6 linked regions of the Cricetulus griseus genome follow. The protein of the gene in region 1 interacts with the protein of each later gene in a pairwise test. Links are inferred from orthologs where the notes say so. Each region holds a gene or a part of one and is shown on either strand. Other genes may lie near its edges.

Region 1 (3,387 bases):
GGTCCGCTGAGTCATCGTCTACCTCCCTGCACTCTGGATCTCCCTCGGGTTTGAGGCCCCCATAACCAGGCAGGCAGGGTGGGGGAGGGGGTAGAGGCCTGTCCTGGATGCTGCCCTTTCGACCTGGGGCAGGAGACGGAGCTGGGGAAGGGGTGGGAGCCTCAGAGACAGGCAAGGCAGGCAGAGGGCGGCGGGACAGGCTCTCGGTGGAGGGCAGCCGAGGCCTGTGCTGGAGTGGAGGGCTTTTGGTCAGAAGCTGGGCCACAGTGTCCAGGTCAGCGGAGGAAGAAGCTCCTGGGGACTCTGGAGATGGTGACTCTGGTCCCAGCAGAGGCACGTCATAGATGCCTTCATCTGAGTCCCTGCTTTCCCCATTTGCCAGTAGTTCCTCGGGGGCTTCATACAGGTTGAGGAGAGCTGAGGCCCGTTTCAGGTTCGAAGGGGCAGAATAGAGGGGAGGCCCTGGTTCCCGGCCCCCTTCCCACTCCAGATCTGGCTCCAGCTCGGCAGATGGCTTCAAGGCCAAAGGCACATCGTAGGGAGCTTCATCCTCTCCAGGGGGTTGAGGGACAGCTGGAGCCAGAGGACAGGAGAAGGAAGCTGGGGAGTCATAGGGACAGCTGGAGGGAGCCCGGAGGATGCTGGGAGGCACATCATAGACCTGGAGGGAGGGACCAGGGTTAGCCTCCAGCTCAGCAGCAGACCACCCCTGAGAATTCAGGCTCTCACCCAACACACACAGAGCTCTAACCTCTAACACATCTCTGGGGGCAGTTAGCTGTGTCCCATTGACTCTGGGGACCTTGTAGATGGAGTCAGGAGAGGATGAGCACGATCTAGCTAGAGGTCCTGAGGCAGGGCAGGGTCGAGCTGGTGGTGGTACCACATACACCTAGGGATGAAGAGGTGGAAATGTCAGCAGTGGAATTCATTGACACAGGTGCAACTTCAGGAGCTTAAGCACTGTAGTCTGCTCCCTCCACACTCCCTGTGCTGAGCTCAGGAGTAGGGGGCAGACACACATCTGTCATCACTCAGTGAAAGGACAAGGTCTCAGCCAAGACCTCCCTGACACCCATCCCCAGGCCCTGGAGGGGGCAAAGACGGCCAGGCCTGAGATGATGAGGGGCTCCAGTTCTTACCTCTTGCTCCTCACTGCCATGCTCTGGGGTGGGACATGAGCCAGGTTGGGTGGGAGATGCTGAGGTGAGACTTGGCTTGGGTGCTGGACCAGCAGGAAGGAGCTTCACTCGGTTAGCAGGCACAATACCCTGCTGGCCATGCAGGGAGCAAAGGCACCAGCCATCCAGTCCACCGGCACCCTCCCTCTGCAGTACCCGTAGAACATCCCCTCTGCGGAACGACAGCTCCTGGGGGGACTCTGCAGTGTTATCGTAGAGTGCCCTGGCAAGCTGGGCCTGGTAGGGAAGTTAGGAGAGAAGAGGTCACACACAAGGTCACGTAGAGACTAGACCAGTCTCCCATTCCATTCAAGCTGCTTCCGATTAGGCTCTACCATGTCATCATCACGGAAGGCCCATTCCCCTTCCTCCTCATTCTTTGACCTAATTCTTTCCCATCTCGGTGCCTTTGCACTTATATTTCCTCTACTCCAAGCATTCTTGGATCTATCTGACTGATCCTTTTACATCCTTCAGTTCCGCATCTGTAGCCACCTCTGTTCCCTTCACAACACTACCTACCCACTCAGAACTGGTCCTCAATACACAACTGCTAAATGAATTTCTTCAGAACACATGAAGAGATCTCTCTAGGGTCCCCCACAGAATTTCTTTTGAGTCCCCCGCCCAATCCCCCAGTGATTACTCCTCCAAGTGAACGGTTTGATAAGCAACGATAGAGACCCATCTTCCTGCGAGAGCCTGGAAGAGTCTCATTTAGGAGTGTGAAGGCATACTTGAGAAAGCAAAAGACAGAGCCATAGCTTTTCCTAGCCTGAACAAGTACAGTTCTACCAGAAGCAGCATAAGTATATCTATTTCCAGGCCTGTCCAGTGGGAACCTAAGCTTTTCAGGGAGGGCCATGAGCTCAGGTACCAACTCACAAAACTCAAAGTGCCAGGGACTGTTTAAGTGTTTACATTGAATCTAATTCTCACAATCTCCATCGTAGAAGGAAAACTGGGGCACATGTGCTTGGTCCGGCGACATGCAGTTGATGTAGCTGGCAGAAAACGCACTGGTATCAACGCCCATACTCTCTACTGCCCCTCTACAACCACAGGTGTGATTGTCTTTCAACAGTTATGTACTTTGTTTGTGTGTATGTGTGCCAGAGGTCAGAGGACAACTTGCAGGAGTCAGTTCTCTCCTCCCACCATGTGGGCTCTGGGGATTGAACTCAGGTCATCAGACTTGGCAGCAAGTGCCTTTACCTACTAAGCCATCTCACCAGCCCTGCTTTTTTCTTTTAGTTTAAGGTGTTTTTTTAATTTTAAGCACAGCAGTAGAGAGGGACAGTGACTCCAAGGTGAGTAAGGTATGTATATAGGCTCCTTCTAGCTCCTCTTAGTGCTCTTGTTCCAGTTCCATAAGGTCCTTTAGTAGAACTAACCTTTCTCCTCTCAGACTATCCAGCACATTCAGCTTTCATTGTGATGGCTAGAGGACTGACTGCCAGTAGGATCCCAGGCAATGTGGCTTACCCAGAGACATTGGAGAACAGTCAGTTAGACACTGCTGGCCAGGTAGCCCCATGGACTCTCTAATTCAGTTACAAGTCTCCAGGCAGGGGCAAAAGGGAAGGCTCAGTGGTTAAAAGTGGACACTAATCTTCCAGAGGATCCAGGTGTGGTCCTCAGCAGCCACACTGCCTTACTCACAACTGCATTTAAGTGTAGTTCCAGGGGATCCAATGCCTCTAGCCACTGTGGGCACCTGCACTTGTGTATATAGCCACACACATACATAATTTAGATAAGTAAGTGAAAAATATTTAGTTAAACTGAGTCTGGTGATAGAGGCCTCCAATCTCAGCTACCTGGGAGGCTGAAGCAATCCTCCAGTTGAAAGTTGGAGGCCAGACTGGGCAACTTAGTAAGATCCTATCTCAAAATGAAAAATAAAAAGAAGGCTGGGGACTGGGAATGTAACTCAGTTGGTGGAGCAATTCCCTTAGCATACATAAAGTCTTGGAGTTATATTTAGCGTCTGGGGTTGTGGTGGCACACACCAGGTATCCCTGCACCTGGGAAGTGGAGGTAGGAGGATCAGGGGTTTAAGGCCAGCCTGAGCTAAATAATGCTTTGCCTCAAAACAAAACAAACGAACAAAAAACTCAAACAAAAAACCTACTGAGTATGTGAACATGTAGCTCAGCGACAGAACACTTCCCTAGAATGTTTGAGGCTTTGGGTTCAATCTCTA
Region 2 (3,943 bases), on another chromosome or scaffold:
CCTGATCTATATACCTAACCCACTTGCCACTTACTCGCTTTATTTCCTTATTTTGTTTTGTGTTTTGTTCATTTTGTTTTGTGAGAGGTCTCATTCTGTAGTCCAGATTGACCTCTCAAATTCACAGCAAGCCTCCAGCCTCAGCTACCTCATTGCTGGGATTGCAGGATGCACCACTTACAGTTTCAGGCCAGACGTTTGTGTTGAAGCTGTACCAACTAGAGAGGGCTAGAAACCCATCTGCACATTTTCTGCCTTCCCTATCCCTGATGGCACCTACCTTTCTGGGTACACATCCCCAGGAATTTGTTCCTCCTTTGTGTCTACTCTGGGTTCCTCGGGCTTCCTCAGAGGGTCCACTTCTACTGCTGAAGGTGTAGGTCCCACTCCTGGGGTGTCCTCCAGTGGGGCATCCTTTCTCTCCACTGCCTCCTTGGCTGCCTCTAAGCCTTGAGGCACCAGGTGGGACTGAAGGCTGACCTCTTGGGCCTTCTGGGCAGCCTGTTGTTGCCGAACCTTCTTGATGTTAGGTCGAGGCATGGTACCCATGTGGCTGTACATGTCACTGGAACGAGCATAGGCAGGAGGACTCTTGGGGACTGTCACCATGTCATCCTGTGTGGCTTCAAAGGTGTCAGGCTCCAGATAAGATCGGATACTAATGGAGGCTGAAGACCGTCTCAAAGAAAAGGACCGAGGGAGATTGGAAAGGCTTCCAAGACCCTTGAACTTGAAAAACTCTGGCAAGAGAGGAGGAGAGGAAAAAGGATTAATGACAGTGTCAGCAGGTAGTAACAATGAGAACCACCACAGGTCCCTCAGTGAGGGTACAAAGAAGGTTCAAGGACAGCACCTCACCTAGACAGGGTTTCTCTGTGTAGCTCTGGCTGTCCTGGAACTCACTCATTAGACCAGGCTGGCCTCAAACTCACAGAGATCCATCTGCCTCTGCCTCCTGAGTGCTGTGATTGTGGTGTGCACCACCACTGTCTGACGATATAATTTTTAATACAATGTTTTAAAGAAATCTGTTTTAGCCGGACGTTGGTGGCAAACGCCTTTGATTACAGCACTCGGGAGGCAGAGGCAGGAGGATCTCTGTGAGTTCGAGGCCAGCCTGGTCTCCAGAGCAAGTGCCAGGATAGGCTCCAAAGCTACACAGAGAAACCCTATCTCGGGAAAAAACAACAACAACAACAACAACAACAACAACAACAACAAAACAAAAAACAGAGGGGTAGAGGGTAAGGAGTGGTGTCCAAGGCAGCCTCTGGCACCTGGGTTGAAAGGATATAGGTGCAGCAGCCAGCCTGAGGATTGCTGGTCCCTATCTATGGGTGTTTTTTGCCTCCATGGGCTGAGCCCATGTTCCAAACTCCACAGGCAGGGATCCTGTCATAGCGTCTTCCATCAAGGACGGAAGTATATTCTGTCTGATCACTCCTCCCTACATCACCCCCAGACTGTGGGACTGTCCCTTCTCACAGTGCTATCTTCTGACTTCTGTAGGGCCTTCAAATGAGATGAGCAAAAGGGGGAAACACTGACATTTCTACTTCCCTGGCCTCCTCTGCATCCTTCTCTGCATCATACACCCAATGGAATATAAGCATCATGCCCACATTTGACACAGACAGAATCCATGGCCCAGAGAGGGGGAAGGGATGTGCACAGTGAGAATGGGGCTGAGCCTGGGTGGAAGCTCTGGGCTCAGGACCTGGGAATTTTTTCCTGCCCATTCCCCTTGATCCTAGTCCAGACAGGGCTGGCTACTGCCCTGCTTCTAGAAAGGCTGCCCTGGGACAGAGGTTTCACTAGTATTTAGCAGAAGGGCCACTGATTGCCTCCTCTTTCAGTAGTACAGATTTTGTTTTGTTTTGTTGTTTATTTGAGAAAGTGTCTCACTCTGTAGTCAGGTTCTGCTCATGAGCCTCCTGCCTCTGCTTTCTGATTGCTGGGATTACAGAGGTGTGTATCTCCATCTGTGAGATACAGTACCGGCTCTCTCTCTCTCTCTCTCTCTCTCTCTCTCTCTCTCTCTCTCTCTCTCTCTCTCTCTCTCTCTCTCTCTCTCTCTCTCTCACACACACACACACACACACACACAGGAAGGACAGCGGAGTCAAAGAACAGAAGTTTGGGGCCCCAAAATGAATAGACCCGGAGAAAGAAATAGCAGTGAATGGCATAGTTCACCCAGTAGCTCCCAGCCTCGCTACTGGTAGGGACATATGACAGCATCCATCATCCTCTAGCTCCTTAGAGATCTCCCTGAGATCTGGTGTTGAGCTGGGTTCCAGACAAATTAGGGTATGTGGGGGTCTCTCCCCACACAGCTTCAAGGTCAGAGAGAGGCCAGGATGCCAGTGATGTGAAGGCTGAGAGGCTGGGTGTAGCAAGAGAGAAGCAGAGGTGGAGGAGAGAGAGGGAAAGACAGAAATGAAAAGACGGAGATGGAGAGACACCCTGGGCCATAAGTGGACAGTAACACTCTGGGGAGAGATAGAGAGATGGTCAGAAAGAGAAAGAGAAACAAGGAAACAATGGTGAGAAGCAGATGCAGAGGGGCCAAGCTAAAAGGAGAGAGGAGGGTGGACAGTCTGTACTCACTGAACTTTTTGCCGGTTTTCTTGGGCATCTCTGTCATGTTGTCAAGTTGTGCAAAGCCCCTGTCTTGCTAGCATGTGGCTGCTCCAGGCTCAAGACATCAAGGTTGAAGGGCCTCCCCGCCACCCCTTCCCCTTTCTCTTGCCCTCTCAACTTGCTTCCTCTGTGTATTTTTAAACTAGTGAAACTCCCACAGCCCCACCCTCCCACCCTCTCCACAGGGGGCGGGGGCTGGGGCCTCCCCAGTCCAGCCCCTGAGGGCCTCCTCAGCCAGCAGCAGGGGCAGGGGGCACTCCACAAACCCATGGGACCTGGAAAGCCTGAGGAGCAAACCACAGGCTCTGGGAACAGAGCCCACTAGGCTGGGGGCCACAGGGGACCTGCCAACAGCTGTCAGGGGGGCTGGCTCATAGGATGGGAATCAAGGAGACAGGCCCAGGATTGGGTAGTGTATTCTAAGGCCCAGTACCCAGGCAATGCACTGGCAGTGATAAAGATTATGCTGGAGGTAGGCCTGTGGGCTGGGGTCATTCACTTTTGATTGGCTACTTTGTCACTGCGTGATCATGGGTGAGATGATTCATCTGCTTGAGTGTCAGTTTCCTCTTGGTGAGCAGGACGTGCCAACCTCACGGTGGCCAGAGCAGCAGACAGATCCAAGCATGATTGTCCCTGTCCGAGTTAGCAGGCACGTGTGAGGGCAGGTCTTCCCTGCCCTTTGGACAGAGACAGGAAAACTGAGGCACAGAGAGGCAAGGAGATTACACAGGTCACAGAGAGAGTTGGTGGCACACACTGGGTCACAATTTGTCCTTCCAATAATATACAGGCTGGTGCCCTGCAAACACAAATAAGTGTTTGTGTGTGTGTGTGTGTGTGTGTGTGTGTGTGTGTGTGTGTGTAGGAGTGTGTGTGAGTGTATCTGAGTGTGTGTCTGTATGTGTATGTGTGTGGGTGTGTATGTGTGTCTGTATATGAGTATGTGTCTGTGTGTGTCTGAATGTGTATGAGTATGTATGTGTATGAGTGTGTCCAAGTGTGTATGAGTATATATGTGTCTGTATCTGAGTGTGTCTGTGTGTGTGTGTGTGTGTGTGTGTGTGTGTGTGTATCTGAATGTGTATGAGTTTGTGTGTTTTCTGTGCCCACAAAGTACAGATATAAGGAAATGAAACCCCCATGTACAGCTGTAGTGGAGGGTGGTAGCAGGTGTTAAGACTGGAGAGCTACAAGGTCAGTCCAGTTCTGAGTGACATCACCTCTCTAGCCTCTGTGCCAATAGTGACAAGGACGATGCCATGTGCAGCCATCCTCTAGAGATTCTGCTTCCCTCGTT
Region 3 (3,936 bases), on another chromosome or scaffold:
AGATGTCATACACCTTGGGCTGGTAGGGGATGCCCTGCAGCACCTCGGGGGCTGCATAAGCCGCTGACCCACAGAAGGTCTTACTTAATGTCAGTCGACCACTATCATCCCGCAGGCAGCGCTTGGAGAAGCCGAAGTCAGACAGCTTGATGTTGAAGTCCTTGTCAAGCAGAAGATTCTCGCACTTGAGGTCTCGGTGGACGACATCCAGATCATGGCAGTACTTGATGGCAGAGGAGAGCTGATGGAACTTCTTTCGAGCATCATCCTCTTGCAGGGCTCCTCTAGTTTTGATGAATTCCAGGAGGTCACCCTGGACCCCAAGCTCCATGACAATGTAGACCTTGCCATCTGATGTCTCAAAGATCTCATAGGTCTTGACAATAGAGCGGTGGTTTAGCATGGCCAGGATCTCAATCTCCCGGGGAAGGAATTTCTCCAGGAAGTCCGTGGGGGCTTTCTTGCGATCGATGATCTTGACCGCCACGTTGAACTTTAGGCGCTCAGAGTAGGCGGATTTGACTTTGGCATATGAGCCCTCTCCCAAGTTTATCCCCATGATGTAGCCTCGTCGCTTGAGGACGGCAGCGTCATCCATGGTGCCGGGAGTGCCCAGTGCCTCTGAGGCTGCCCTCTACATCCCTGCCAGACATGGGCCAGCAGCGTCCTCATTTACACTGTGGACAGAGAGTCCTCTGAGCTGGCCAGGCCTGCTGTCCCTGCCTCCTAAGAGGCCAAGACTCGAGCATGGAACACTCAGCACTGTCTCCGGGGGTGACTTCAGTGGGTGAAGTCACAAAGGAGTAGTGCTCTGGGGGAAATGAGGCTATTACCTGAGCCACTTGGACTTAGAACCTGGAAGGTCTGCGCATGTACTGGAGCAAACTAAAAGTGAACAAAAAGGCTTCATGCTTGGCTCCAACCTGAGGTAAGAGAGGGCTGAGACCCAAAGGTCTGCCCACATTTCTAAAACTAAAAACTAAACTGCTATATAGAAACATGGCTCATAATTGCAAACCAGGTCAATCCAGGGGATCCAGGGTGGTGGTTCTATCAGTCAAGGGTCCCGACAGGAAACAGATGGTAGACTCAATTAAGGATAATCAGAAGTCTTGATAAAGGGGTGAAAAACAAAGGTGGGAGCAAAATGTAGGGAATCCTGTAGGTAATGTAGTTCCCTAAGGTAGGAGAAGGCAATGGAGAAGGCCACCCCTTCATGGGCCAGTGATAAGGAAACCATTTGTAACCCCCCCACACACACCACCCCTTTAGCTCTTAATGCTGTCACATAGGCAGCCCTCAAAGGCATAGAATAGGGCCAAGATGGGTGAGGGTTCATCTGTTTTGTTTTGTTTTTGTTTATCGAGACAGGGTTTCTCTATGTAGCTCTGTAGATCAGGCTGGCCTCGAACTTAGAGATCTGCCTGCCTCTGCCTCCTGAGTGCCAGGATTAAAGGTGTGCACCACCAACACCCAGCTGAGGGTTCATCTTTTAAAGGATTATTTTCTTCGGGTCCTTTACCTTCTCTGGCACAGTGTTTGTACGTTTAGGGGTTACCAGTGTGCTTTCATTGTGGGGTTCAGCTGGTCTGTTCACCTCTTGTCCTTCGCTTTTCTCACAAACTTTTCCTGGTCTAACGGTGCTGCAGGTGGACAGTGGGCAGGAATTCTGCACTTGGCTGTGAATTCCCTCCCTAAGGACCTGCCCAACTCATGGCTCTTGCTGGACTCCCAAGGCAGATTTGGTGTGGGGGTTGGTGTGGGGGCAGAAGGCTGGGCCTGGATCTTGTACTGAGTGCTGGGCATGTGTCACCAGGACTGTACAAATGCCAAGGGCAGTGCTGGATAGGTATCTTTGCTTCTGCCAGCAAGGGGCAGGGGCCCCCTCAGTTTTGACCATACCTGTGTCCAACATCTGCCCTGGGCCAAGAAATATGGAAGTTTGAATATCTGATGATTTGTCCTAATCTTGGGTTTGAACTTGACTTTATCCACCTATAAGGAGCCACTCACATGGCTCCAGGTAAAACAGGTTGAAATTCTGGGACTTGTTGGAGGTGTACTAAAGTGAGTCCAGTATGCTGGAGGTGACTGGCTTTCCCCTTTCTCACTTCCTTGCCCGATCATCCACTGCGGGACCTGTACATATGGCCCTTCCCCCAAACAGATAGCTTCTCCATCTGCTGTCACTTCTTACACATTCATGCTGTTCATGAGGACAAGTGTGAGGTGGGCACATGGAGCCTCGTTTCCAGACTGTAGCCTCATCAGTGCCTGGGTTTTTCTCCTTCACTGATAAGACCTTCCCGAGATCTGGTCCAGTGGATCTGGGCTTCTCTGTTTCTGACATTCCTTAGGCCATTTTCCTCCTCTGTTGAAATTTTGTGTGCCTTCTCCATTCTTAGAACATGCCAGCCCTCTAGATTTCTTCACTTTCTTCACAGGGGTTCGGCCTTTAGAAGGCACCTTTAGGACGTGTTAGGCAGGCATTGGGACGGACCTGGGCCTCCTGAGTAAAAATCGTTCGGGTCCCGCGCTGCCTCCTCAGTTCTCTAATCCCAGGTTCCCACTCCAGATAGGGGGCGTACACTGTCGGTCCTTGTGATCCCCAACCAGCACTAGGGACCCCTTTGGCCACCTCGCAGCCTGGGCTCAGTCCCGGAGTCCCGCCTCTCGGCTCAGCCAATGGCATGCTTCATTTCCTATAAGCCCGCCCACTGCCGCTCCGTGCCTCGGCCTGGCCTCTCCAGCCCTCCAGTTCACGCCCCGCCCCGCGTTTGGAGCGCGCCCGTCCTGGCTTCCCTCCGCCCCCTCCGCCCGGCTCGGCGTTCATTGGTTAGTGTGGGCTGGAGGCGGGGTCGCGCGGGCCCGAGCAGGACGGCCGCCATCTTGCGGGAGCCGGAATCCCGTCCCGCTTCTGCGGCCTAGAGTGCGCGCGAGCCGGCGGCGTTCCCTTGCAGCGGCCCAGCGTCGCGGCGGCCCAGCTGGAACCCTCACCCTCAGCCTCTCTGCCCGGCCCGAGTCCGGCCCTCACGCCCTCATCTGGGCTAGGTCCGGCCTCCCCGCGGGGTCACACAGCTGCCCCGGGGACGATGAACGGAGGATAAATGGTGCCCAAGGCAGACAGCGGTGCCTTCCTGCTGCTCTTCCTGCTGGTTCTCACTGTCACCGAGCCGCTGCGGCCAGGTGCGCGGCGCCGGGGGTGGGGGCGCGGTCGGGGTGGGGCTGGGGGCGTCCTTCCACCCGCGGCAGCAGGGCGGCCCCTGCGCCTCGGCAAGGCACTAGCGAGGCCTGGCCGCGGGCCTCTGGGCGTCCCCTGCTCGGGCACAAGTTGGAGTGTACCTGGGTTCGGAGCCTCGAGGATGTCGCCTTTGGACCCACGTCCGTCCAGCGCCGCGCGCTCTGGGAGCCACTGGCCAGGAGCTGCTTCTGGGCTGAGTGGAAATCAGGGGGCTGGGAGCTGCTTGTGGAGGCACCTGGTGTCCCAACTGTCCGCTCAAGTGTGGCTTTGTGCCAGTGTTTCAGCTTTGGACAGCGATGGCTGGTGGCTTATTGCCTCGTAATGAAACGCTGCATCACAGAAGTCTAGCTTGGCTCAAAGGAGGTACTGGGAGTAAACCAAACCTCGTGTGCAGGGGACAGAGTCCTCTCACCGGTGCCCGGCACTTAGTGCTTTGTTTGTGTGGTGTGATTAAATACTTTAGGTACTCCCTTGGAGTTTTGTGTGTGGTGGGGAACCTCAGGTCCCTTTTTCTACCTGTTTCTGATACTCGTGAACTGGGTTAAGAAAACCTAACTGCTCCCCACTCTCCAAAGCAGGGTTGATTTATCCATCAGGCACATGAGTTCCTGTACAGCCTCACTGTCACTTTAGGGATCTGCCATAAAGTTTTATAAATGGCAGGGGTGTCTTTGAACTTTTAGGTGAAAGAGATG
Region 4 (4,263 bases), on another chromosome or scaffold:
CTTGCTGCTTCCAAAACAAGGATGTTCTGCCTGCCTCAGGTGCTGTTCTACAACCTGGACACTTAACTTCCACAGATAAACAGTAAAATTCCTCCTGATGAGATGGAGTGTTTGCAACAGCCCAGTCTCTGCCACAGTCTTTGCTTTATTTTGTTGTGCTGAGGATAGATCCCAGCCCCTCACTGGGGGACTCCAGGCAGGGACTCTACCACTGAGCCACACCCCCAGCCCCTCACTGGGGGATTCTAGGCAGGGGCTCTACCACTGAGCCACACCCCCAGCCCCTCACTGGGGGATTCTAGGCAGGGGCTCTACCACTGAGCCACACAGCCCTCACTGGGGGCATTCTAGGGGGGGCTCTACCACTGAGCCACCCCCAGCCCCTCACTGGGGGATTCTAGCAGGGGCTCTACCACTGAGCCACGCCCCCAGCCCCTCACTGGGGGATTCTAGGCAGGGGCTCTACCACTGAGCCACGCCCCCAGTCCCTCACTGGGGAATTCTAGGCTGGGATTCTACCACTGAGCCACGCCCCCAGTCCCTCACTGGGGAATTCTAGGCTGGGATTCTACCACTGAGCCAGAACCCCAGCCTTTTTTGTTTTTCTCGAGACAGGGTTTATGTATGTAGCCCTGGCCTTCCTGGAACTAGCTGTATAGATCAGGCTGGTCTTGAACTCAGAGAGATCCGCCTGCCTCTGCCTCCCAAGTGTTGGGACTAAAGGTGTGCACCACCACAGTCCAGCAATCCCCGTCTTCTTATGGACTGTAAATCCTTCCTAGATGGTTATAAAGCTAATGCAATGTTACTGCTATATAATTATACCATACAGTTTAGGAAATTAAAAAGTTTGTGAATAATCATTACAAATGTAATAAAAAAAAATCTGTTCCTCTGCCTTTAATCCCAGCACTTGGGAGGCAGAAGCAGGCGGATCTCTCTGAGTTCGAGGCCAGCCTGGTTTACACAGTGAGTGCCAGGGCAGCCTCCAAAGCCACAGAGAAACCCTGTCTGGAAGAAAAAGAAAAATGGTGCTTCCAATCCCAGCACCTGGGACGTGTAGGCAGGAGGATCATGTGTCCGAGATTACAACAGGTAAGTGAGAGCCCTTGGCTCTGAGTGCAGCTCTGCGGGATACAGAGGTCAACCGTACCACACAGGGGACACCACGGACACACAGGGCCCAAGTTTGATCTGGGGGTGCATTTCTCAGGTCAGAGAAGGAACAGAGCGAGGACGTTTAGTTTGGAGTCTGCACACCTCTAATCCCAGCACTTTCCAGGCAGAGGCAGGACCAGCCAGTGCCACCCCCAGTGAGGGGCTGGGGGCGTGGCTCAGTGGTAGAGCCCCTGCCTAGAATCCCCCAGTGAGGGGCTGGGGGTGTGGCTCAGTGGTAGAGCCCCTGCCTAGAATCCCCCAGTGAGGGGCTGGGGGTGTGGCTCAGTGGTAGAGCCCCTGCCTAGAATCCCCCAGTGAGGGGCTGGGGGTGTGGCTCAGTGGTAGAGCCCCTGCCTAGAATCCCCCAGTGAGGGGCTGGGGGTGTGGCTCAGTGGTAGAGCCCCTGCCTAGAATCCCCCAGTGAGGGGCTGGGGGTGTGGCTCAGTGGTAGAGCCCCTGCCTAGAATCAGTGGAGAGCCCTGCGATCCCCCAGTGAGGGGCTGGGGTGTGGCTCAGTGGTAGAGCCCCTGCCTGGAGTCCCCCAGTGAGGGCTGGGGTGTGGCTCAGGGGTAGTGCCCCTGCCTAGAATCCCCCAGTGAGGGCTGGGGCGTGGCTCAGTGGTAGAGCCCCTGCCTGGAGTCCCCCAGTGAGGGGCTGGGATCTAGCCTCAGCCTGGGCTACGCAGTGAAAACCTGCCTCACAAACTCACAAACTTCGTGCTCATCAGGGGGAGCAGCGGGCTGTCAGGGAAGCAACAGAAGGGGCAGAGCAGTGCCTACAGCAGGCTTTGAACTCCAGAGGAAGGCGTGACAACCGCCAAGCAGCCAAAGTCAGGGAGGTCCCTGGGACCCCCAACAACTCTATAGTCTCAGCTGTGGGGCCCCAGTAAGGGACCGCTGGGTGGCAGCGGCAAGCTCGCAGCTCTGCAGGCTGGCGGGAAGCTACTTGTAAGCCCTTTACTGAGTCAGAGCAGAGTGCAAGCAGTGGCCACACGGAAGGGTCAGGCTGGCGGCCCCGGGATGGGGCGGACGAGCCACGCGAGTGCGAGCGTGACGCCCAGCGCTGCACCGAGGGACACGTAAGTGGCAGCGACTATTACGGGTTACAATCCTGCAGTGATCCCAGCAACACCCTCCACATCACCGGGTGGGGCCTTTCCTCACTGCTGGGGCCAAATCCTTGCTAAAGGACCCACTGTGTGCTGGGGGTAATGCGGTCCGCACAGACTAATTTACCCCGGGGCACAGGGGCGTCGGGGACGGGTGACAGGGGGACGGTTGGGGTGCATCTCCTAAGGAGGAAACGGAAGCACGGGGAGTCGCCCACAAGCGAGAGGTGAGGCGAGCCCTCGCCCGCCCCTAATAATCGCCAATTACCCTAATTAGCAGCAGGGCCGGGCCCGGCACCATGGCACTCCACCTTAGCAATGCCCGGCCTTGGCCCGGCTGCACCCCACTCCTCCACCGGGAAGTCACCCCCGAGGCCACGCCGTGCCGCTCACCCCCGAGCCAGGGTCTGGGTCCGGGGCCCACAGCTCGGCCACCATCTCGGTGTGCAGAAACTCGAACAGCACCGCGTCCGCCATGCGCCGCCTCGCGCCCCCGCGCTCCCTGGCAACCCCTCCGCTCCCCATTGGTCCGCTCCGGAGGCAGAGCCGAGCTGATTGGTGCTCGGAGGCAGCCCCCGCCCCCGCGCGCTGACGATTGGGGGATACGAGGGAGGGGGCGGGGCCCCGAGTCCCTCCGCCGGCCGCGCACGCTAAACTCACTTCCGCCCTCACTTCGCGTCCCTCGCTCCTTCCGGGTCTTTGCACATTCCCATTGGCCGAGTCTCAGATTCGGGTGACGGTCCTAATTTAAAAACAAAAACAAACAAATAAAAAAATCCCAAGAAACAAACAAAACCATGTGCCCTATAGATTTTTCCAAAATTCACACAAAAAAACGCAACGCGGAAGCGGCTTGTCTAACCGCTTTCCTATTGGCCGGATGTCCACCCACGTGACTCCACGCGGAGTCACTTCCGCCAGGCGACGGGTCCCTCGGTTCGGCGCTCCGGCGATCTGGTAGGGCCCTGCGGGCGTTGATGTCCTTCCCCTTTGGTGTCCCCCTGGGCGGCCGTCCTTTCGGGTGAACGCCTGGCGTCTGTGCGGCCCGCGAGCTGGCCTGGGCGAGCTGGCCTGGGGGACGGGCAGGGTGCGGTTTGTGCTGGGGGACTCCGGGAACTCTCGGTTTCAGGGTCTCACTGCGTAGACCAGGCTGGCCCCGAACTCACAGAGATCCTCCTGCCTCTGCCTCCCGAGTGCTGGGATCAAAGGCGCCATTATTTTAATATTTAATATTTTAATTTATAATATTTTATTTATTTATTATGTATACAACATGCTACTTCCATGTATATCTGCACACCAGAAGAGGGCACCAGATCTCATAACGGATGGCTGTGAGCCACCGTGTGGTTGCTGGGAATTGAACTCAGGACCTCTGGAAGAGCAGCCGGTGCTCTTAACCTCTGAGCCATCCCTCCAGCCCCTATTATTATTATTAATTTTTTTGAGACAGTCTTTCTCTGTGGCTTTGGAGGCTGTCCTGCAACTCACTGTATAGACCAGGCTGGTCTCTAACTCACAGTGATCCTCCTGCCTCTGCCTCCAGAGCGCCCGTTGTTTTGTTTTTTGTTTTTCAAGATAGGGTTTCTCTGTGTAGCCCTGGCTGTCCCGCAACTAACTCACTTTGTAGACCAGGCTGGCCTCAAATTCAGAGATGCACCTGCCTCTGCCTTCAGAGTGCTGGGATTAAAGGTGTGCACTTGGGTAATTTTTTTTTTTTTTTTTTTTTTTTTTTTTGGTTTTTCGAGACAGGGTTTCTCTGTGTAGCTTTGGAGCCTATCCTGGCACTCGCTCTGGAGACCAGGCTGGCCTCGAACTCACAGAGATCCGCCTACCTCTGCCTCCCGAGTGCTGGGACTAAAGGTGTGCGCCATCAGCGCCGGGCGTTCTTGCTTTATATTGACTGATTTATTTATTTATCGTGTGCGTCTGCGCACTCGGATGTCACTGGACAACTTGTGGAACCCGCGGCGCCGGGCGTGGCTGCAGCAGCTTTG
Region 5 (3,500 bases), on another chromosome or scaffold:
GCTGCTCTGGCAGGGATGGGGGAAGAAAACTAACATGGCAGAGCAAGGCCTCAACAGGAAATGAGGAGACCCAGCAACAGTCAGGAACTGAACATTCCTAGAGGTACTGGGCAAGAATGAGGCATGGAGAGGAAATAGGAGTGGCCAAATGGATTAACACAACATCATTGGAACCCCTGGACCAGTCACTGGCAGATGTCCCACTAACAGCAGTAGAATTACCTTGCTGAGAAATTACCCGAGTTCCCCAGCTCATGCACAATGGTATGAGAGAAGGTGACAAGAGCCAGTCAGATGAAAACCTATAAGATGAACTGTAAGATCTTTCACTCCGCTACTTTTAATCACCTCTTTGCCCAGGGAGTGGAGTGAAAGGTGGTGACTTAGGCCAGGAGAGTGCAGATCACCTCTGCCAAACAGTATGGCCCCTCCGTAGGGGGAGGTGTGGCATTTATGTCAGCATACTCAATACAGGAGGGACCTCATCATGTCCATCAAGAAGCACCCTCCCCTGCCACCAAGTGCACATAGCTTCCAATCACACAGATAAATAGATGAACCAAAACACTGGGTGTTTGAAAACAGCTTAAGTGTTTGAATAGAGGTCAGCTTAAATGAAAGAAAAGGCTCTGGGAGAGAAGAGAACATTTTTTAAAGTAATAATATATCAGTCATATAAGGTGGTACTATAATCAAACAAGAAAAAGACACCATTAAAAGAGTAAAATAAGAGCTTGTGGTCAACAAACTTCTCAGATAACCCCAATAATACCTGCTCTCCCTTGTCCCCCAAGAGACCCTATATACAACTCTCTTGTCCTCAAGTGTGGGTGAAGTCAGAGAATACAAAGGCATCACTCCTCTTGGCTGGACACTGCAGTGCATTCCTTTAATCCTAGCACTCAGAAGACAGAGATAGGTGGATCTCTGTGAGTTCAAGTCTATCCTGGTCTACACAGCAAGTTTAAGGCCAGCCTGGGATACACAGTAAGACCTCATATTCAAAAATAAGAAGCCCATCACTTTGCAGACAATATGTATTGGGTTCACTAAAAGGGAGGTTATTCTGGGTAGGCCACATCTAGTCAGGAAGGCTTTTAAAAACAAAAGTTAAATGGTAGAGCAAACACCACCACCTACTAGCCATGAGGAGGACAGCAAACACTCATTTTGTAAACTCTTAATTAATAGAAGAATGGGGCATCCAAAAGCTGAGGGCATCAGTACTAGGGGGCAAAAAGCTCAAATCTCAGCAACTGCAATGAGCTTAGAAGAGAATCTCAAGCTTTCCAAGAACCCAGGTCCAATGGAACCTGGGCTTTACAGTGTGAGATCCTAAATCTTGTGATGTCATGCTCAGAATTCCAACCCACCCAATACACATTGTGAAACCTGGGATAATTTGATACATAGCAATAGAAAATGAATATAGAACTTTGAGGCAATTAAAATAAAGTTGGGGCTGCAGAGATGGCTCTGTGATTAAGAGCACTCAATGGCTGCTCTTCCAGAGGACTCAAGTTCAATTCCCAGCAACCACATGGAAGCTTACAATTGTCTTCAACTCTAGTCCCTGGGAAATCTGATGCCCTCTTCTGGCCTTCATTGGTACTACATGCATGTGGTGAATATAAAAGCAAGCAAAACATTGTATGTATATACATAGATAATTTTTAAAAACCTTTAAAAAGGAAATCATTTTAAAATGATAAAGGCCAAGAAATCCCTAATTTAAAAAAAGAAAATATGAGGTTCAATCTGTAGAATCAAAAGAACAGAGAAAATGATTAGATGTAGAAAAGGAAACAAGACAATTTCTCAGACTAAAAGACTTTGTGGTACTCACTAGGGAAAAATAGCACTAAGGCACACCCTTGTAAGTTTTCAGAATACCAAAGACAAAGACTCCAATAAGAAAAAGACAGGTTACAAGCAGAAGCTTGCAAACTGCCAGAACTAGAAGTAATGGGAGTTTGTCTCCTAAGGCTCACATTTGGGAGTCTGGGTAAGAGAGGAGCCCTTAGAAGAAGGGTCCTTGGTGCAGTTTGGATCTTAAGAGTCCCCAGAGATTCGTGGCATGCTGCTATTCAGAGGGGGGTGGTAAAGTCTTGGGGAGAGGGGTGAGTGGAAAACCTTCATACCCTGGGGTGTGTGCTTAATGGGGTGGTGAGATTGTTCACTGGAGATGCAGCCAGCCAGCCGATTGGCACCACCACATGCTCGCTCACCTTGGTACCAGCCCAAGAGCAATGGGGTAACCTGATGGTGGAACAGCACTTCCCAAACTGGTACAGACAGAAACCTTTTCTCTCTGTAAGCTGATTATCTCTAGCATGTGTTCTAGGACCAGAGAATAGCACTTAAGGATGGAGGATGTAGCTCTTGACACACAGCTGAACAGTGTGAGGACTTGGCTTCAGACCCCAGTACCACAACACAAAACAACAGTCACAGCAACAAAACTCTGTGTGCTTGTAGCATTAGAGAAAGAGCTGGGTGTGCTAAATGTGTTCCCCATGATAAGCAGGCTCACCTGCTGGTTCAGCTCCACGTTTGGCTGAGTAAACAGAACCTCCACTATGTCTGCAATTCAAACAGAAAAAGGAGTTTCTTAAGACAGAAACAGTGAACTTTGTAAAAGCAGATAGCATAATTGCAAAAGATAATACTTGTTAGGAGAATGTTCTAGAAAATGCTTACAAGTTTCTCAAATTTTATATTAAAAACTAAACAAAAACCCTAAATGATAGATCACAAAAGAAAATTTTCAGACCTGAAGGTATAGCTCAGTTGGTGAAAAGGAGTGGATGGTGGGGTTTGGACTACAATGAAGTAAACAGAATTCACCTTGCAATTATTACTGTTTGCAAGAGAACTGCAAACTTAAGCCAGTGTGGTACTTCTTAATTTTTTTCATTAAACTTAAACTTAAAATGTAGGACCAAAAGCATAGCTAGGGAAAAGCTACAGGAGCCAACTGGGCCTTCCTCTGTGGCATGTGGCAGTGGGTTTGTTATCCTGTTACTGGCATTTTTCTGATACATTCTGAAGCCTGAGAGAGGAAAGGAAATTCCCAGCCTTTCCAGAGGTCTGCACAGTGGGTCTCCTCAGTCACATTCCATCCTCACTGCTCTGCAGTTTCCAGAAACACAGCTTTTGGCGGACTTTGGAGGATCTGCAGCATTGCTTTTACCATGATAAGAAAGGAGGCTCCCTTGGGTGAAGGTGATTCTGAACAGCACAGACACATGTATCTAGCAAGATGCAGTACCTTTGTGGCCCCCGTGGCAGGCCCAGTACAGGGCTGTGCTTCCAGCTTTGTCCAGGCCGTTTACACCCACTCGGTTGTCCAAGCACTCTCTCAACCAGCTCAAGTTGCCTGAAAGAATTTTACACTTATAAAAAACACAAGAAAATGGCTTTTACTCCTTGTTTTGCTTTTAAATCAATTTCATCACTGTAAGCTCCATTTGTGATGCATTAATCAGCAAATCCTAAAA
Region 6 (3,500 bases), about 170 Mb from region 1:
CTGTGGTCAGACACAACTCCATCTTGGTCACTGTCGGAAAACTCTATGTGTGTTCTGGGATGCTCGTCACTGGTGACTTCGATGTGGATGGGCACTAGAGTTTTAGACTTGCAGTTTCGCTGACCCTGAGAAGGCTGTCTACCCTGAGTTTCTTCCTCCAGCAGAGACTCAATAGAAAACCGCCTCTTGGGACACAGACCATTTTGTTGGGGTTCTAGGGTTACAGGAGACAACATCTCATCCCCTAGATTGGGCATGGACTTCGACTTCTGTATCAGCTTTTCAAATTCCGAAATGCGGGTGGGTACCATGTCCCTGGGCACCTCCTCGGTGGAAGACTGGCTCCATCCATGGAGCAGACCCCTGTGCTGCTGTTCCTTTTCATACTGCAGTATCCTGGACTTCACAGAGCAAATTACCTCTGAATTCATCAAATCCTTGCGGTTGATGCGATGCATTTTCTTGTACATTTTGAGGAAGCCTGGGGCATTATGGGCAGACCTGTGTTTGATTCTAGATCTGCTGTTACCGCACACTTCCTGGATGTACGGGGAAGTCCACATCATGGGGCAGCCCTCTTTGGAGTCTTCTTCGCATAACAGAGAACCCATACTTTCTGACTTGGCTTTAGGGTCTGGGAAGCTGTCGCAGTCGTCATTCAGGAGATCATCACAGCTACGTGATTTGATTTTGGGGGACACAGTCTCTTCGGTGCTGCTCCAGATCTCTGCATTTTGCCGGGCCATTTGCCATCCATTCTTGAAGGTGATGGCCCTTTGAGAATCCCGGGGGACATCCAAATGCTGTCTATAGGCACCACAGTACTCTAACTCACTAGAGGGGGCGCCATTAAGCCCCGAGTAACTGCAAAGGGATGGACACATTTTGCTATCATCCCCACCTTTCAATCCAGAGCAGCATGGCAGGAGAGAGACATTTGGAGAAGTTAAAAGGTTCACAAAGTGAGGAAAGCATGTCAGTATTAGCACAGCAAAGAGAAGACAGTTAGCATGGCTTCTAGGTACCTTCACACACACAGCTTCAATTAAAGAGGAATGCCTGATGCTAAAACACGATAATATTTTTCAGCGCAGCTTTGCAGATACTACAGTAAACCAAATCACACATGAAATACACTTGGTGTAGCTAACACATTCCTACTGCATAATTCGATGGTCTTTTGTTCAACAAGACATTCCCAAACCACAACTCTTCTCTATTAAGCTAACAGTGTGGCTATCTCTATCACCAATTTATGAATTGCAACCTCCCCTGAATTCTTCAATTTATAATGCTTGGGAAAGGAACTTGACTTGACTCTCTATGGTAAAAAAATACTTAAACTTATCAGGATCCTTTTCCATTTTGTATCGTATCCAAGAATGATGGATCCATAGCATTTCATGACTGACTTGTCACTTATGATATTTGCTGTGTAGATGAGTAGAATATGATATGATGAAGGCATGTTAGGTAATGAGCAAGTTACTTTCTGAGACTTAGTTAGGTTTTAGGCCACCCAGCTGTCCACCTACACAGAGACCAGTCATCACAGTCTTCTGCAAACTAGCTACTGCTTCACTTTAGCCACTGTATGGCAACAGGGTTAGTGCGGACTATTGTTAGATGTCCCCACTCTGTCCTACTTCACAGACACTTCTATTATAACTCATTTTCTTTACATGTTTTGAAAACCTATTCTCTTCTATTTTAACTTTCAAAGACTACAGGAGATTATGGGGCCCCAAATTTGGCATGCTACTGAGTCAATAGATCATGGTTCAAAAGAAAAAAAAAAAGACATAAGTAAACTAACAGAGACCCAAATGAGCAACTCTGTCCCTTTGATGCTTAGCTTACTGCATTTCCAAAGAGGAGAAGGCCATCTGAAAAAGTGGTTGGACTTCCTTCCTTCTTTCCTTCATCTTTCTCTCTCTCATGTATGTGTACATTTCAGTAGAGGTCAGAAGACAACTTGTGGGGTTATGTTCTCTTTCACTATATGAGTACTGGTGATTACACTCAGGTTGACCAGCTTGGTGGCAAGGGCCTTTTACCTACTGAGTCATCTCATTAAGGCCTCTCATTTCTAAATTTTGTATTTGTGGCTTCAAGCCAGTATGTATTTATTGTAAACTATTGTGGACCACTGTATTGCATAGTAGAATGTGATACTCTATCATACAAATAAAGGTTGAACAAAATAGAGTAAATGACTAAAGGCATGCCTTAAATAAATTACATTCTAATCCAGAATTTAAAGTACCCCATTGCATGTTTTTCAGTTGCTATTTATACTTCTTATTTTACAAATTTAATTAGTTATCTATAATAACATTAGAAAATTTGCCTACCTAAAAGACTATAAATGCATTTCTATACAAATGACAAATAAATTATTTAATACTTTGAGTTTTAAAAAATAATAAATTCAACATATTTTTGAGAAAATGGTAACAAATGTTAATCTGAGTTCTTTATGACACTCAAATGGTTTGCCAGCTTAAATTGGATTAGGTAGAAGCAAAGGCTTTGCTGGGAGATGGTATTTGCTTCAGGACGCTACAAGAAAAACAAGTGTAAGTCACAATCATAGGATTGGCCCTCTCCCATACTCTGGGCTAAATTGTGAACTAGCAAGCTTTGTTCATTTATTGTGGCTCACCTTGGGCTCTTGATGGAGAGGAAGGAGAAGAACTAATGAAAGACTTCGTAAATGTGGAGCTTGATCCTGGGAGGTCTGCCTGGCCCGGGCTGGTCCTGTTCACACTCTGATCCCCCAAACCTCTGGGTGGGCCCACTGCAGGTTCACTTTTCCTCCGTTTCCTAAAATCACCAGCCATGCTTGCAGAACTGACAGAGGGAATCAGTGTCACTTTGATGGGGCTTGGAAGAGGTTAATACATGTGCAAGAAACTAGATAAAGGCTTAACACCTAACCTACTCACAAAGTTGCATGGTGAGAAATTTATTCCTTCACATTTAAAAACTTTCTTTATATTCATTTTTAAAAATATATTTAACTTCATTTTTAAAGGGAAGTTTCAAGTTAAAGAATATCTGACTGGACTGTATAGGCTCTTCATATCTGTAGGTTCAACTGACTGTGCACTGGAAATATTAAGAATTGGATTGCTACTGAACATGTGCAAACTTGTGTTTTTATTCCCCACGTGATCCATTATAATAACCACTTATGTAACATTTACTCATTTTTATTTATGTGTATGAGTGTTTTGCCTGTATATATGTCTGCATACCGTACCAAGTGCCTGGTGCCCATGGAGGACAGATGAAGGCATAGGATCCCCTGGAACTACAGTTACAGATGGTTGCGAACTGTCATGGGGACTGAACCTGGAGTTTCTTCAAGAACAGCAATTGCTCTTATCCACTGAGCCCTTTCTCTAATCCTAACAGCTCTTTTAAATAACATTTGTGTTTCATGAGGCATTGTACATATTTCAGAGTATATAGGAGGCCACAGGTAGGTTATATGT

The links.
Region 2: the proteins of Efs (region 1) and Sh2d3c interact in a two-hybrid assay, tested with the Homo sapiens proteins (2 studies listed by BioGRID and IntAct). The two-hybrid records come from large-scale screens. The link is inferred for Cricetulus griseus from reciprocal best matches to the Homo sapiens genes EFS and SH2D3C.
Region 3: the proteins of Efs (region 1) and Tssk1b interact in binary tests that used the Homo sapiens proteins (3 or more experiments, as listed by UniProt). The two-hybrid records come from large-scale screens. The link is inferred for Cricetulus griseus from reciprocal best matches to the Homo sapiens genes EFS and TSSK1B.
Region 4: the proteins of Efs (region 1) and Trappc6a interact in binary tests that used the Homo sapiens proteins (3 or more experiments, as listed by UniProt). The two-hybrid records come from large-scale screens. The link is inferred for Cricetulus griseus from reciprocal best matches to the Homo sapiens genes EFS and TRAPPC6A.
Region 5: the proteins of Efs (region 1) and Ostf1 interact in binary tests that used the Homo sapiens proteins (3 or more experiments, as listed by UniProt). The two-hybrid records come from large-scale screens. The link is inferred for Cricetulus griseus from reciprocal best matches to the Homo sapiens genes EFS and OSTF1.
Region 6: the proteins of Efs (region 1) and Sorbs2 interact in binary tests that used the Homo sapiens proteins (3 or more experiments, as listed by UniProt). The two-hybrid records come from large-scale screens. The link is inferred for Cricetulus griseus from reciprocal best matches to the Homo sapiens genes EFS and SORBS2.

What each region holds. Positions count from the first base shown.
Region 1 is NW_023276807.1:210,117,069-210,120,455, forward strand, and holds part of Efs (embryonal Fyn-associated substrate), read right to left. Parts: intron 1,419-3,387; coding exon 1,143-1,418; intron 893-1,142; coding exon 752-892; intron 662-751; coding exon 1-661. UniProt on the Homo sapiens protein: Docking protein which plays a central coordinating role for tyrosine-kinase-based signaling related to cell adhesion. May serve as an activator of SRC and a downstream effector. Interacts with the SH3 domain of FYN and with CRK, SRC, and YES.
Region 2 is NC_048599.1:144,431,401-144,435,343, reverse strand, and holds the start of Sh2d3c (SH2 domain-containing protein 3C), read right to left. Parts: upstream 2,801-3,943; 5' UTR 2,648-2,800; coding exon 2,611-2,647; intron 741-2,610; coding exon 281-740; intron 1-280. UniProt on the Homo sapiens protein: Acts as an adapter protein that mediates cell signaling pathways involved in cellular functions such as cell adhesion and migration, tissue organization, and the regulation of the immune response.
Region 3 is NC_048597.1:71,397,292-71,401,227, forward strand, and holds the start of Tssk1b (testis-specific serine/threonine-protein kinase 1), read right to left. Parts: upstream 2,801-3,936; 5' UTR 599-2,800; coding exon 1-598. Other genes in the region: Dgcr2 (integral membrane protein DGCR2/IDD), read left to right, coding at 3,108-3,186. UniProt on the Homo sapiens protein: Testis-specific serine/threonine-protein kinase required during spermatid development. Phosphorylates 'Ser-288' of TSKS. Involved in the late stages of spermatogenesis, during the reconstruction of the cytoplasm.
Region 4 is NC_048602.1:27,848,320-27,852,582, forward strand, and holds the start of Trappc6a (trafficking protein particle complex subunit 6A), read right to left. Parts: upstream 2,801-4,263; 5' UTR 2,792-2,800; coding exon 2,660-2,791; intron 1-2,659. UniProt on the Homo sapiens protein: May play a role in vesicular transport during the biogenesis of melanosomes.
Region 5 is NC_048596.1:42,587,555-42,591,054, reverse strand, and holds part of Ostf1 (osteoclast-stimulating factor 1), read right to left. Parts: intron 3,380-3,500; coding exon 3,272-3,379; intron 2,584-3,271; coding exon 2,534-2,583; intron 1-2,533.
Region 6 is NW_023276807.1:40,745,006-40,748,505, forward strand, and holds part of Sorbs2 (sorbin and SH3 domain-containing protein 2), read right to left. Parts: intron 2,854-3,500; coding exon 2,666-2,853; intron 902-2,665; coding exon 1-901. UniProt on the Homo sapiens protein: Adapter protein that plays a role in the assembling of signaling complexes, being a link between ABL kinases and actin cytoskeleton. Can form complex with ABL1 and CBL, thus promoting ubiquitination and degradation of ABL1.